Linked DNA regions of Rhinolophus ferrumequinum. The protein of the gene in region 1 interacts with the protein of each later gene in a biochemical or structural test. Links are inferred from orthologs where the notes say so. Each region holds a gene or a part of one and is shown in the gene's direction. Other genes may lie near its edges.

What was found.
Region 2: the proteins of LRRK1 (region 1) and BAG2 form a complex in vitro, tested with the Homo sapiens proteins (2 studies listed by BioGRID and IntAct, with this or other methods). The link is inferred for Rhinolophus ferrumequinum from reciprocal best matches to the Homo sapiens genes LRRK1 and BAG2.

Annotation. Positions count from the first base shown.
Region 1 is NC_046311.1:12,590,895-12,598,299, forward strand, and holds the start of LRRK1 (leucine-rich repeat serine/threonine-protein kinase 1), read left to right. Parts: upstream 1-4,307; 5' UTR 4,308-4,407; coding exon 4,408-4,429; intron 4,430-7,405.
Region 2 is NC_046286.1:24,054,616-24,062,578, forward strand, and holds the start of BAG2 (BAG family molecular chaperone regulator 2), read left to right. Parts: upstream 1-4,877; 5' UTR 4,878-5,033; coding exon 5,034-5,146; intron 5,147-7,140; exon of another isoform or gene 7,141-7,963. Other genes in the region: E3 SUMO-protein ligase ZNF451, read left to right, coding at 1,039-1,085. UniProt on the Homo sapiens protein: Co-chaperone for HSP70 and HSC70 chaperone proteins. Acts as a nucleotide-exchange factor (NEF) promoting the release of ADP from the HSP70 and HSC70 proteins thereby triggering client/substrate protein release.

The DNA of each region.
Region 1 (7,405 bases):
AAACAAACTGCATTTCTGACTTTCCTGGCATATTCTCTTCTGGAGTCCTTACATCTCCTGGACGTGAACGATTTTTATTTTCCTCTCGCACTCCTGTTTCGTTGACCAATAGGTTGGGTGTGAAGTTGCAGTCCTGCCTGGGGATGGAACTGTTGACAACTTCTGTGCTCCCTTTTCAACCAGGTCCATCCCCGGGACAGTTAAGAGGCTCAGGGCGTTGTCAACAGGAAGTGGTATTTGAAGTATCCAGCAGTCGCTTAAAAATGCTCTGCTGACTCTGACTCCGGTAAGAATTTGGGGAAAACTCCGTGCGTGTTCTGGAAACAGGGCCCTGTGCCTGCACCCCTCCCACTGTTTAGTGGGAAAGCAATAGCCCAAAGTTAAAAAAAAAAGAAAAGAAAAAAAAGGAAAAAGAAAGAAAGGAAGGAAAGCAGAATTGGGATGACCCTATGTCTTTGGGGACTAAATCTTGACATTGACCATGGGACTCAGCTGACATCCAAAAATACTGCCTTTGGAATATGACTGAATCACCAGCCCATAGAGCTTATCTAAATCTATGTCGCGGGCTACCTTAACCAAGGCACTTTCTGAGGCAGAAAGCGTCTCGAGTGTCACAGTCCCAGCTAAGGAACCAGCGCTCTGACACCACAGCAGCATAACAAATCCTAGGATAATTAAGTCCTGCAGTTTACAAACCAGAGCTGTAATCAGCTTTTACAAATTACGCATTTCTGCCACTTGCATTTTAATGATTTATGTAGTTTTCCTTTACTTCAGTCGGGTTATCCATTTTAGATTAGGAAACCATGCACACCTGGAAAGCCCTGGTTTGTTAAAGTCCTATTTTGATGTTAATTCATGATTAATTAACAAATAACACTTGGATTCTATGGAGGAATTGGGTCTCCCATCAAAGTTGTCTGTTACTGCACTAAACAAGTTGGGAATTTTCCATTTCCATTTTGTGTATCCAACTCCTGTGCAATTCCAAGATTTAACTTGGAAAATGGAAAGTGTTCCCATACAGCTTTAAAAAAAGCAAAACCAAATTTGAACTGTGTTCTGCGGATGCTTTGACAATTCCGAACGAGTACTTTTCGAATGGTGCTTATGTTTGAGAATGAAATTGCGGGGGGCCAGAATAAAATGAAGGTCTATGTCAAAACCAGTGTGTGTATGAAGAAAGTCGTATATGAAATGGGGTCGTCATTGTCAGAAATATGCAATATGCCATTCCTCTTTTCCTCTACGTCAGTTAACGCTTATCACTTATACTGTCAGTAACTTGTTAAATCAGGATTTGACTCATACACTGAATTTTCAGGATTTTATCTCAAGTAATTATAGACACTAATCTCGATAGTAATACATTAGAGGGTTCTTATTCTTTCATGTACGATAATGCCTTTAATATGAAATGCTACATTATTTATAATTGGTATAGATAATGTATCTTTTTATAGTTGTAAGTAAACAGAGGTGGTATATTTAACCTTCTGTAATATACTGTGTTTAGAAATGGAAATCTATATAGTATTAGATTTCACTTCTTTGAAGGTTTACTCCTGTGGTATGGCTTAAAAATCGATTGGCCTGGGAATTCTGATCCTAACTGCAGATTGTGTTAACAATGTGATGATAAAATAAATTGGATATTTGACAAACATCATATTTTTTTCATTTAAGGACTAAACCCTTTTCAGTTCTGTGGCTGATCTTTCTCTTTCTTAGACCTTCTGTTCAAAATGGCTTGTGAAAAGCAGTATCAATACTTAAGAATAAAATCACATTTGCTCATTTGGTCAGGTCTAGCGTTTACCATGAATGTGACGCCGACTTCTATGGCCTTGGGGGTTAACCAGGCAGTGAGCTCGGCCTCAGAGGCTCTGCGTCGTAGCTGGCAACGTTTAAACTGTCGTCTAAGTTGCTGGAATCTCTTGTTGTCATTAAGTGATGACGATGTGTGATGTGCAAAGTGGTGGAGAAGACTGAATGGGATTCAAAGAAAACACTACGTTCCGTAACTGTGGATGAGGGCGTAATTTACCTAAATTTCTAAGGCTTCGAACCGAGATGCCTCCATCACCGAGTCGAGAGCTGACCCTGCAGCGGGATCAAGAACATTCCCTGTATGTGGTCAGGTCTACCAAGTTCAACCTGTGCCTTTGATGTTGAGATTCCAGGTCACTTTGGCCATGCAGTGGCAAGGCACCACCCTTTAAGAGGAAACTTAAGAGGGCCTTGGATCCGATCCCTCATGATGTATGCATGTATGAATGCACTGATGTATTTAGAAAACTTCCATTTCTCAATTAAATGGGAACAGAAAGTTCTAGGGGAACGACCTTTTCCTTCATTTGGTTTACCAAAACATGACTCTCTGAAGGGAACTATTCTGGGGACATGTGTGTGTGACTTCGTCCACTTGTGTGCCGGTGGGGGGTGGGACCCAGAAGGTTCTCTGAAAGTGGATGGACACTTTGCAGTAAATACCCTAGCTTTTCCTGATGGGAGACGAGAGCCTTTTTAATATCCTTGTTCCTCGCATGTGGCTAACGAGCTTGAAGGTGAAAAATGAGGGGTGTTTTAAAGAAGCATCCAAGGAGGAATGTCTGAGGAAACTGAGTACACAGTTGAAGAAAGATGATGAGAAGACATGGGGTAAGAAGGAGGCGGGCAGTTAGCCACTGTGCTTTCAGAAGGCAGAAATGTTGGGTCATGGAGGTGGCCTCCAGGTGACCCCACCTTAGAAGCAGTCATTCCCATATGAGATGCTGAGAATCCTGGTAGGATGTGGAGCAAAAGGTAGCGGACCCTGGGTCAGCGGCGTTCAAGAAGAAACTGACCTGTGACAACCCTCCCACGCAAAACTGTGACTGACTCATGCCTAAGAAACAGAATTAAATGCTAAGACAGAGCCAGCTCGAAAGAGTCCACCCGTGTGTCTGATGTCCCGGCCGTTTTCTACATTGGAGACATTCCTGGCCTATTCCCAAGCTCATTTAAAAGGGAAGTTTGAGTTGCCCCCTCTGCAGGGGCCACGTCCTCTCCTGTCTGCCCTGGCACTGGGCGTGCGCTTCCTCACAGCGCCGCTAGATGGCGGGGCTGCGCGCCCTGGAGGCGCAGCACCACCGTGGCCAAGCTCCCTCAGCCTGCGGGCGCCGCCACGCCCTTCAAATTATTAGGGACACTTCCGTAGCAATCTCACTGCTGCCTTTTGCATATTGGAATTAGGACCGCAGTGGTGAGAACAGCGTTGCAAAACTGCATGCACCATTTGGAAGGGCGTCCTGTAGCAGGGGAGCTGGAGGGGGGGCCTCGTGGGAGCAAAGCAACGCTGCCCGGTGGTCCCCTTGCCCTCCGGGGCCCAATGAACAGCTCCAAGTGGCGACTGCCGGGCGTGTCCGCGAGGTGCAGGCCCGGATTTTGTGAAATGGCAATGTGGGTGGTGGCCATTTGTCTCTGTGCCTTGTGCTAAATCCTGGGAATATTCCAGTCACAATATTGCATGAGAGGAGCCTAGGGTGCGGGTCCCGCCAGGGTGCAGAACCTTCTGCTTTGTTCCATGAAGGCTTCTCTTGATCCCATGGGCTCGTGGAGCTGAGTCGGATGCTGGCCTGCTGTGGACGTGCTTCTCTATGATCTGCGTTTCGATAATGGCCTCCATGGTGTGATCATATATTTATATTAGGTTGAAACATAATGAATTGCCAACATCTTTTATCTACATCCCCGCCCCCCAGCAAAACCCCAATTGAAAATGTTTCACCAAATAGTGACCTATTGACATATACACCCAGAATTAAGTTGGTAAATTCATGCGGTGGCAGGGGTGCCCTTTGCAAATATTAAAGCTTTAAAAATCCATATTTCTATACTGCCTTATAAAGAGTTGAACACAAATGAATGTTCCCTCTCTTTTTAATATTTACCGACAAAGTATATGGCCAACCACACGCAAGCCAGACGTGAATCCGCGTATTTTGCGGCTGGGCAAGGCAGAGGGACAGCGTAAACTGGGTTGAGCCCAGAACCCACCCATGTTATCGCCGCGTGTGTCATGCGTGGAGGGAGCAAGGTACCCAAACCTGGAGGGGACGTCACGCTAGAAGGACCCGTGGGCCCTGTCATCTTCTGGGCATGAGCGGTAAATTGGATCGCCTGCGGTTTCCGAGCAGGGAAACTGAGGCGGGACTCCTCCGGCGGGTTCCGGGAGCACCAGCTGCAGCCCATCCTCGCCCTGCGCGCTCTTCGCGCCGCCCGCCCTCCACGCCCGCTGGCGGCCGCAGGATTGAGGAAGTGCGTCTGGGCCCGGCCCGGCCCCGGCGCGCGCGGCCGGAGGCTCCGGGGGCGGAGGGCAGTGGCACGGCCAGGCCCCGGCCCGCTGGAGAGCGCGGGGCCTGCATGGCCAGCCCCGCCGCCGCAGGTAAGCGCTGTCCCGCCTCGCGCCCGGCGCCCCGTCCCGCCCGGGAATCCGGCTGCAGCCCGCGGCCGGTCCGCGTGGAGCCCTGGGCCCCGCAGCTCAGGCCCGCGCCCCGGCGGCGGCCGCGTGCTTTGGCCAGGGTGGCCCTTGCCCAGGGGCGACCGAGGGCTCCGGGCGACCCCAGCCTCACGGTGCGGCTGTCTCCCGCCGCGCTGCGACCCCAGGCAGCCCGCGGGGTGGGGGTGTGCGGGACCCCGGAGCGGAACCCGAAACCTCGCCCTGGACGGTGCCGGGGCGGGGGGAGCGGAGGCAAGAGACAAAAGTAGGAAAACACACCAGGGTGTCTACCGGTCTGCGCAGCCTCTGCTGCAAACCCCTTGCTTCAACTTGGAGCGGGCCGTGGGGAGCGCGCGTGTGCAAGTGCGTGAGTGTGAGTGCATGTGTGTTGGGAAGGACCGCCCGGCGTCTCTCTCTGCCCGGGGCGGGCCTGGCGATGCGGGGGGTGGGGGGGCCGAGCTCGCCGTCACCCTCCTCGAAGTCTGAGGTTTGCTTCCAGCCCAAGCAAGGGTCTGGCCAATACAAACCGGCGTCTCAATGGCGGTCTCTGTGGGCGACTTCCCTGGCAGGCGCGGGGAGGTGAGTGCGGTCCGGGGCAGGGGGATCCTGGGGGGCAGGGGGGTCCTGGGGGGCAGAGGGAGATAGTGATGGAGCATTTGAGGCCCGCTCAACCTGCCCCTTCACAGTTCGAGGCCAGGAAGTTTCCCTCCCACAAAAGCATCCCCATGCAGGAGTGGGATGTAAGGAAACAGGAGCCTGGAGTTGTTTTCACTGAGCCGCTCACCAAATACGTTCTTTTTAGCATTTGCCACTCACTCATATTGTATGAAAATTCTCTGGACATTATAAAGGGACAACTAGAATATGCACAGTTTTGGGCAACGTTAACATTCAGTAGTTTTTTGTGATTTGACTTGTTTATCTTTGCATATGTCCAGACAGAATAAAACAATTAGATTAAAAGTACACACACCTCACACCTAATTTTGTGCCTGAAGATTTTGGGGTCTTCCAAACCTTTCCCACCCGCAGGCTTTTTTCATAGCTCAGGGAGTGGTCCCATCTACAAAGGACGAATTAGCCTCCATTCCATTCACTCATCCCTTGATTCAGTCTGTTAGCAAGTCCTGTTGTGTTTCCCTCTAAAATGTGTCCTGTCTGTCCCCTTCTTTCTGTACTTTCTATACTGTTACAGGCCTCCCTTCATTTTCTGTTTGGCAGCAAGTGATATTTTTTTTATTTAAAAAAAAAATTTTTAATATCACATGAAGGAAAGACTTTATCGATGTCTAAAAAAATAGACAATATGACAAGTTACCATAAAAAAGTGTTTCCTGATACATAAGGAAATTCAGTATTATTCTAGCTGAGGATCTGAACTGAGAAAATATATTTGAGCACAGCTTGTGAAATTTAAGACTTTTTTTTTTTTCCGTGATCAGAGGGTATCACTGAACTCACAACCAACTTGCCAGTTCAGTATGCAGTTCGGATGGGAGACTTCTCTGTACGGCAGTCAGTCTTATTCTTGTAGTTGTCAAACAGGCAAACAGGTTTGTCCCCACTTTGTAGTAAGTTAATCTTCCTGTTAGCAAAAGAGGTCACCAGCCCCCATGGGCTAAAGGGACTGGAGTCACAGGATGGGGATTTGCTCTTAATACTTTTTTATTTTGATGTTTGGAACTCTTGATGGAACATTCCAGAGCAAGATGTTCAGGACCTGCTGTGCCCAAGGGGCATTTTTTTTTAACAGGTAAACCACAGAGTGTCATTTGTCTGCTTGGAACCCCTCAATCACTTCTCCTCGTGAGTGGCATGAAATCCAGGAGACCTTCCCCTCACACCCCCGAGTAGATCTGGCCTCTGCCATCTCAGACCACCTGGCCATTGTCCCCAGCCAGCCTGGCCCGTCTCGCTCTCCAGCACGTGGCCTCTGCAGTGCTGCCCCATGGCCAGCCACCCTCTAAACCCAGCGTCTCTCTCACATTCCTGTCTCTGTGTCCTACTTTATCTCCTCCGCTTCTCCTTTAGTTACCTGGAAGTCTCCACTGGAGCTCCAGGGGTCAGAGACCCTTCCTGTCTGCCTACCTTGCTCACTGCCACATTGTCACCTCCAGAACCATCCAGGAGGTGCCAGCCTCATACTGGCACATTGACCAGTGGTGAACGGACAGCCTTCACTTGATTGTGGTTTCATAGTCATGAAGGGCTTCTGTCCCCAAACCCTTGGGTGCTCATCTAGGATTGGGATGGACCCATTTCTCTGGTCTGCAGCTCCATGGTATTTGGATGTCCTCAAATCCACTGAACACACTTGGTAGGCAAGCTGGGATTGGTCAAGGGATGTTGGTGCCAAAGGGACATCTAGGGCCGTGGGCCAACTGTCTCCACCAGGCTTTTGATTCAAAACGAGAGAGGTGATGTGAGCATTTCCAACATGCTTCACTTGCAAATATCTTCCAATTCCTTGGTACAGGCAATTCTTTCCAAGCCTCCTGAAAAGACAGGTGACCAGCTCCAGAATCTCCTGTTTCTTCCCTGCCAGAAACTTTATTGCAAATACTTATTTAACTACCCTCCCCACCAGCTGTAAGTTTTATGAACTCACAAAGTTCACTCTTTATGGAAAGGGCCCAATGAAAACATTTGTAGAATAAAATGTCAGGTTCCTTTTTTTCTCTTTCATCAAGTATTTGCATTTATTCATTAGAATAGTTATAAAGCGTTGGCAGAAGAAAATTGGTGAGGTTTTAAAAGTTGTTAAAATAATGATTATTGCAGAAAACCTCTTGAAGTCCTCTTTAGGATGTATATACCACAAAGAAAAGAAAACAGGTAACTTACAAACCATGTTTTGTTGCATTGGTCTGAACCCAAAAGAAGCAGGAAGAAGCAAAGATCTGTTTGAGGGCAAAGATTGAG
Region 2 (7,963 bases), on another chromosome or scaffold:
GTTCCTTAGGTCTATTCATCTATTCTTGCACTCGTGCCATACTCTTAATGACTGTAACTTTATAATACTTTTTCATCTTGTCACCTTATTCTTTGCTAAGAGTGTCTTGTGTTTTCTTTGTACTTCATCCCTTTGAATTCATCCTTGGACAATTCACAGCCCTAGAATCTAGCTTTAACTTAAAACACAGTGTATACTAGGTTGTAGTATTTTAGATTACAGACAACATAACACCAGTGCCCCAGCTCATAGGAAGGTACAATTGCATCGTAGAGGGATCACTGGTCCTATGAACTAAGTAGGCTCTGAGAGACTGTAGACTAAATGGGATGAGATAAATCTGGTGTAAGAAGCTGGTGAAGGCCAAGAAATTGAACTTAATTCCATGACCTGCTGGGCTTCAGTATCATTCTTAGAGAGGAAATGGAGAAAGACGTGAACCCAAGAATGTCATGTTCACTATTGTATTTCTGTGCCTGATATACAGTGGGCATTCAATAAATATTTGTTAAATGAATGCGTATGTGTATATAATACATGCTTCTCAGAAGATATTATATAGCCATGAGTTTCAATCTTTGCCTTAGATGCTAGAAAGCTTAAAACTAAAATTTTAATAGCCTGTGAGATTTTGCATTTTCATGGTTTTGCTTTTCTGTTTCTGTTTTTAAAGTTTTATGTGCATTACCTGAAGTCTTTTTGGAAATAAGTGCATAGGTTTTTTTTAATGTTGAATTTAGTGATTACCTATCAGTGATTCTAGAAGTTTGTTGACTTTCTACATTCCTAAATGGAAATAACTCGCAAGTTCCTTAGCACATTATGTTCATATATGTTATAATTCAGTCTAAGGTTATATATCCAGATTCCCTTGTTTTGAAATATTCAAATTTTATTATGGAGAAACTGCCAAGTTATCCTGTTTCTCCATTTTGATTTTCCTTTGCTTTTTGAAAAGACATGTAATTGATGAGACTTACATAAAGTACATTTCTTAGTTTTCTGCCCTAAGTATTAAAATTCTGTTTTTTAATGCAGATGTGGAATTAGAAGAAGCTATTAGAAGAAGCCTTGAGGAAATGTAATTAAAGATATTACCACACAACATCAAGTAGCCTTGAAGAGACTCAGGATAATGAACTCGAGTTTGTTTTCTAAAGGAGGCCAGAATTCTACTAGTACAGATGTGTTTGAAAACATGCTTTTTTTGCTTTTTCATGTTCAAATTTTGATATTTGCTTTGTATTTTTGTGCTGTTTTGAGAATATGTACAGAGGAATAGAATATATGTCAATGCAAATGTAAATCATGTATTCTAATATAGGTACTACTTTACCAGTCAACTTTAAATTCATATATGTAAGTTAAAAGAATTAAAAAATACAAAAGCTGTCAACTATTGTTTGTTTCCCAAATAGCATTAGTTCTTTATTTGTACTGTACAGATGATTCTAGTTTATTTTTTTTAGGAATGAAAATGAATATAAATAAAGCCTTCAAAGCTTAGATTTTCTTAAATTCTACTTCTCATATGATACTAATATATAGAATACCTTTGAGATCTTTGTGATTATTAGAAGAGAGTAATGGTAACTGATCATAGAAATAGATTAAAAGTTTTACCAGCAATGTTCTTTGTGGATTTCACTCCGATGTTTTTCCCTGCTTTAATTAGAGCTGCACATTGCTAGAATAAAAAAGAACACCCTAATTTCTTTAATATAAGTATAAAGAAATCTTTTCTATTCCTTTTACCTGCTTAGACTTTTATGTGACTTGTATTTACCTACTGTTTAAAGGGAATGGTGTCAAAATATTTGCATAGAATTAAACTTATTTTTAATAATCAGTCCTTTTTATATATTTGTGTAAACATAATCTTTAAAAAATAATGTTCAAGTCTTACTCAGGAATAATCTTCTTTAACCCTTTAAAATTTTTATTTCATATAAAAGTATCTTCATTTTAGTTATTCATTAAGTTGTTTGTCAGGTTTCTATATTTGGTGTTACATATTTAATTTTTAAATGTTGAGGCCCCATTGTGAAAAATAAAATATTACATAATTAGAACACTAAGAAGGGCTTGTCATACTATATTTGTGTATATGCTTCATGTTATTGACCAGAAATGTCATCCCTAAAAATTTTGAATAGTAATTAACAAACTTAAAATTTTCTATAAATATAATTTTTTTTAAGAAAAGAATCATGACTAGAATTTTGTTCTTTCTCTGCAGTTACATGTTTTATTGTGAAATAGCATTGCTGTTTTTTTTATTAGTATAGTCTTTTCAATCCACATTAGAAATCAGTTTGTGTTTTTGTTTCTTAAGATGTCAGGTCAATGTACCTGCTTGCATTTTTTTTAAGTTGACATTGTAGAGTGAGAATTCACCAATTATTTTCCCAAAATGACCACATTGTGCTTTTAATTTGTATGTTAAACTGATCAAGCAGGGCTTTAAGAGGTAGTCACTGAGTCAGACATTAAAGACATCCACAGGAGCTTGCTCAATAGTGAGGAGAAAGGACATTCCAGAAAGAAATGTGATTAAACAGACATGGCGGAGAGGAACCAATACTTCTCTGCCAGAGGTGCCACATACATATGTGATATATACTGAGCTCTATTAAGAAGCTTTTGCTGGTAGAGAGTAACTGAATCTTTTCATCATGACCCTTAAAAAAAAAAGGTAATTGGGTTGTTTTAATTAATAATTGTCACTGATTGTGTTTCTACTTGTTAAGTAATTAAAAATCATTTTTAAATTACTTCATAATTTGAATTTAATTAAGATACAAGGAAGAGATGTAATCAATGGGTGACATTAAAGTTATATGGATTACTAAATTACCCAAGTAAATGTCTCGAACATCGACAAAGATCCTATCTTTTCCGTACATCATTCATTTATTCACTCATTCACGCACTCAAAATATTTATTGAGTACTTACCATGTGCCAGTGACTGCTCTAAGCACTTGAGATACACCAGTGAGCAAAACAAAGTCCTCATTGCTCTGCTATGGAGCACACTTTGGGAGAGAGGAGTTTGGATAGTGTTATCATAGATAATAAGTAAGTGTATCCAATCGTTGATATGTCATGAAGGAAAATGGGGAAGGGAAGAAAAGTGTGGGGGCAGAGGGCTTGCTATTTTTAATAGGGTGGTCAGGAAGGATCCTGACCAGGTGAACTTGAGCAAAGACCTGAGTGAGCAAATATGTATGAGGAAAAAAGTGCCAGATGGAGGGTGATAAGGTCTAGAGGTCAGCTTGATATACCCATGAAAAAGCAGGAATGCTAGTATGAGCTAAGAGAGTAATAGGTGAAGTTGCTGAGGCCTTTCTGTGGTCCTTGGCTTTTACTCTGAAATGAGCCATTGAAGGTTTCTGAGAATAAGTGGTGTGATCTGCCTTATTTCAAAGGATTACGGTAGTTAACTGTATTGAGAATATATATGAGAGGCAAGAGTAAATGCAGGAAGACCAGACAGGAGGATATTGCAGTACGATCCAGGTGAGAATTGATGGTGGCTGGGACCAGAGTGGTGGCAGTGGAATTGCGGGGACGAATTTGGACACAATCTGAATTGAAGGTAGAGCTGACGGGATTTACTTACGGATTGGGTCTAGTATATGAGGGGAAAAAAGAGTCCAGGATGATTCTAAAATTACTTGATAGACTTTTAAACCACAAAATGTCTTCAGATTCCAAGTATGTGTCATGATATGACAAAATATATTTAATGAGGTCAAGTAATCCCCTACACCAATAGTGTATTAGTGTTTAGATTGAGTTTAGAGGGAATTGGGATCCAGATTGAAGGGCCTCACCTCTGTTCAAGTATTTAAATGGCTTTGATCTCAGATTAAAGGTTGTGATTCAGCTTTAAACTGTTATGTATCATTTTATGTTCCTTGTTCATTTTCATCCTCACAATATGAAGTATAGCTATGAGATGGGAGCAAATCACCGGTTTTAAGTATATAAATCTTTGTACTCCCAGCTCTACCCCACTTTTACTGACCTTTATATCTGACCTAGTGATCTATTGCATCTTTTCATTCTTGACAGATTTACATAAATTGGGTGTGAAATGGCCTTCATACCAATTATTTCACCCAAATTCCAACCGAAATCATTTTTAATAGGAAAAAAACTCATTAAAAATTCCTTTGTTAGAATGGGTAGAAATGAAGTATTATTATAAATTCCCTTGCTTCCTACATCCAGCTGGAAAGAGAAAGATGGGGTCACTTTTTCTTTTTTCCCTTATACCTTAAGTGGTGTTATCAGGCTATCATTCTCATTTCTGGAAAGTGGTAACAGGGCAGGTCAAGCAAGTATGGACTGACGAGGAACTGTACTAAATGGCTTTTCACAAAGGGACCTTTTCTCCACATATCCATGGACTTAACGTTTTTGGTGTTTGCTGTGAATTACGGGGGCTGGGAGAAATTAAGCGAAGCCATCACCGAGTAACACATCCACAGCTTACCGTTAGGTCCCTCAGCGTGTAGGGAGGTGGTTTGGCGGGGGCTGCACAGAGAATCGACGCCTCACGGAGGTAGGGGTGGCGGGGATGGGGGCGGGGCGTTTTGTGCTTCTCCGCATCGGTTTGGGTTCCAGGGTCCGCAGAGAAGGACCCGCGCGGATCACGGTAGGGCCTCCGCCTGGTGCGTTCGTCCTTCCAGGTATCTCAGAGGCCGCCTGGTTTTGCTCCTCAGGCCCCCTAACCCTAAGGGCCCATCCTCGAGCCCCGGTGACAGCTAGTGCCCTCCCGCAGCCGCGGCAGCTGCCCCTAGCGGGCTCTGCAGCCCCCGAGCCCCGCGGGCGCGCGGCGCGCCTGTCCTTGTTTGGCCACGCGGCAGCGGCGGTATTGGCGTCCTGTCGGGCCGCCCCCCGCGGGCGTCAGAGGGAGGCGGGCGCCCCGCGCGGTGACGGCGACGCCTGCGGCCGCGGGAGCTCTCCACTCCCAGCCACCGGAGAGGCCGGTGACCTCTCGACCGCCCCGCCTCAGAGGCTCAGATGGCTCAAGCGAAGATCAACGCGAAAGCCAACGAGGGGCGCTTCTGCCGCTCCTCCTCCATGGCCGACCGCTCGAGCCGCCTGCTGGAGAGCCTGGACCAGCTGGAGCTCAGGTGAGGCGGCGGCGGGTTCGCTGGCCGGGGCCGTGCGCGGCGGGGCGGCCCGGGCACAGCCCCCGGGCAGGCTGCAGCAAGGGGAGCTGCTTGCTTGGGACTTGTTTTCTATGGAGATGGTGCAGTTTTGTTTTCATGGTGGATTTTCCTTTCCTCGCTTGAGAGGAAACGCATTCGACTTAAGCAAAATCTGTGAGCGCGTTATTGGCGGCCACATGTTCCTTGACAGACCTGAACGTTTGGGAGCGGAGAAAAATAAGGAAAGATAAAAGTTCAGTGACGTCATTTGAGATTAGGGACAGTGACACTCCGAGTCTACAGAACTTCTAGAACCTTCTGTGTGCCGGTATACGGTCTTCCCAAATGTTTTTAACTTACTTTCCTATTATGCATTTTTAAGAGAAGCAGTAGTTTAGCGGTCCCCTATGTGACTGATCAGTTCTTTGCTCCAGAACACTTCAGAGCAAAAAAAAAAAGTGTAAAAATGCAGGAATCCATCTGATAGTAGGGATTAGAGAGAAGAAGGACAAATGGGCTGCTGGGTGAAGGATAGCTATGTACTTTGTGGAATAAAGACACCGCAGCTTCCCTTTTCCCCATAACCCCACATACTGTATTCAGCACTAACTTTAGTCTCCTTCCATAGTAGACACTGTGCTGACATCTTGAAAGTGCTAGACATTGGCCTGAAAGCATAAGATAGTCACAGTTATTCCCTCTTAACTGATTAAGATTTTAGTAAATGATTAACATTGTGGTAGGCTTGTATAGAATTTCTAAATAATTTATGTTAAATTTTGGAAGTACTTTTTTTCCTTTAACAGTGTATGAAAAACTTTTATGTACTTCCTATAAACTTTTGTGTCACTAAAGTTACTGTGTAAATTGTGTGCAGATGTAGTTAAATGAAAATCTTATGAACGCACCCACAACTCCCAGAAACTACACAGAATTTTCTTTCATAATTTTCTCCAGGTTCTGGGTGAGTATAGGAGTATGTGAGCCAGAAATTTTAAGAAGCATTGCACTGTCTGTATCTCCATCGATTAATATACCAAAGCAAGAAGAGGTGTCTATTTTCCAAGGAAGTGTATTAACAACCACAGTATATCTTAGCAAATGAGGCACTTATTATTATTACTACCACAAGAAAGGAGTGAGAATATGAGAAACTCCACCCACAATGATTTCATGGATGGCAGCTGTTAGACAAACATGAGCCAAAACCACATTCTGGATTCTGCTCAAAGAGACAAATGGAATGAGACAAAAGTAATGTTTCCCCATTACTTTTAACATTAATATTTTTACATCAACTCCCACCCCCCCCCCCAGAGAAAGTGGAGCAAAACTAGAGATCAGTGCCCTCAGCTATGTATTGTCCTTCTGAAGAATGTTTATTTTTATATAAAAGCATAACAAGCAACACACGCATGTCCCCAGGTCTTTAGAACTTTGAGGGCATGTTCTCAACCATATCAGGTGTCTCTCTCTCCCCTAATCAGAAAGTATTTTTCTTTAAAGCAGTGAGGGTGTTGCCCCTCCGTCTTCAAGCTGAGTCATTGTCCTCAGACTGGAATAATTTCTGTGTGTGATAGGTACAAATGCAGTCAAGTTTTCATCTCTAAAAGCCTCTGGTTTTGAGTATTATTATATTTTAATGTTGATTAATATAAAGTAAATTCTGATGACTCTGTACAGGTCATTAAAATATAACGTTTTTAACCCTTGAGCTGAGGAGGAAAGACTGATTAATATGTTCATTTTAAGGACTTTTCTCGTAATTTTAAACTTTTGTAAGCTTTGCTTTCTTTAAGTAATATTGAAGGAAAGGTGTGGTAGATGAGGGTAAAAGGGATCAAATATATGGTGATGGAAGGAGAACTGACTCTGGGTGGTGAATGCACAATGGGATGTATAGATGATGTATTACAGAATTGTACACCTGAAACCTATGTAACTTGACTAACAATTGTCACCCCAATAAACTTTAATTAAAAAAAAGTAAGTATTAATAATATTAACCGAAAAACTAAGGAACTGTTTCAGAAAGTAAGTAAAAATAGAGAAAATGCGAATGCCCATCCACTAAAGTTTATTTGAAACCACGTGGATAATGTAACAGAGAACTACAGTATTGAAAACTAGAGTAAGGGACAGTGTCACAGAGCTCTACATTGTTAAAAACTAGAAAACTGTTAATTTCATATTAAAGATGATTAATAAAGCAGTGTATTAAGTACATTGGTACCTCGATTTTCCAACGTCTCCGTTGACGAACAGTTTGGTTTATGAACGCTGTAAACCCGGAAGTAAATGCTTCGATTTTCGATCACAACTCAGAAGTCGAATATGTCACACGGCTTCCGCTGAGTGCAAGATCTTGAGGCGCCTAGCTGTCGGCTGTTTGCGAACATTTCAGAACTCGTGGATTACGTTTGAAAACTGAGGTACCACTGTAGTTTATACTTAGAACCTTGCATTTATAGTTCCTTTTCAGTACTAATTTTGTCAATTTTGGTAGAAACTTTTTCTGTATGAAACTGAAAACAGAATTATGCTAAATGCATTATGTCATTGAGTTTGAACAGGTGTACATGATGTTTAAAATGCTTTAAGATGTTTGGCAGCAGTCTACAAATTGTTAAAGAAATTCCATTTGTTTTCTAACATATTACCATAACACTAGTCTGTTTTGATTCCTGCTAAAAAGGTGATTCCTTTAGATCTCCTGATTTTCATTAACCAATTCTGAATGATGTCTGATTTTTGCATTCATCAGTGGCTCAAAACACCTTACTTATCATTGTTACTTTT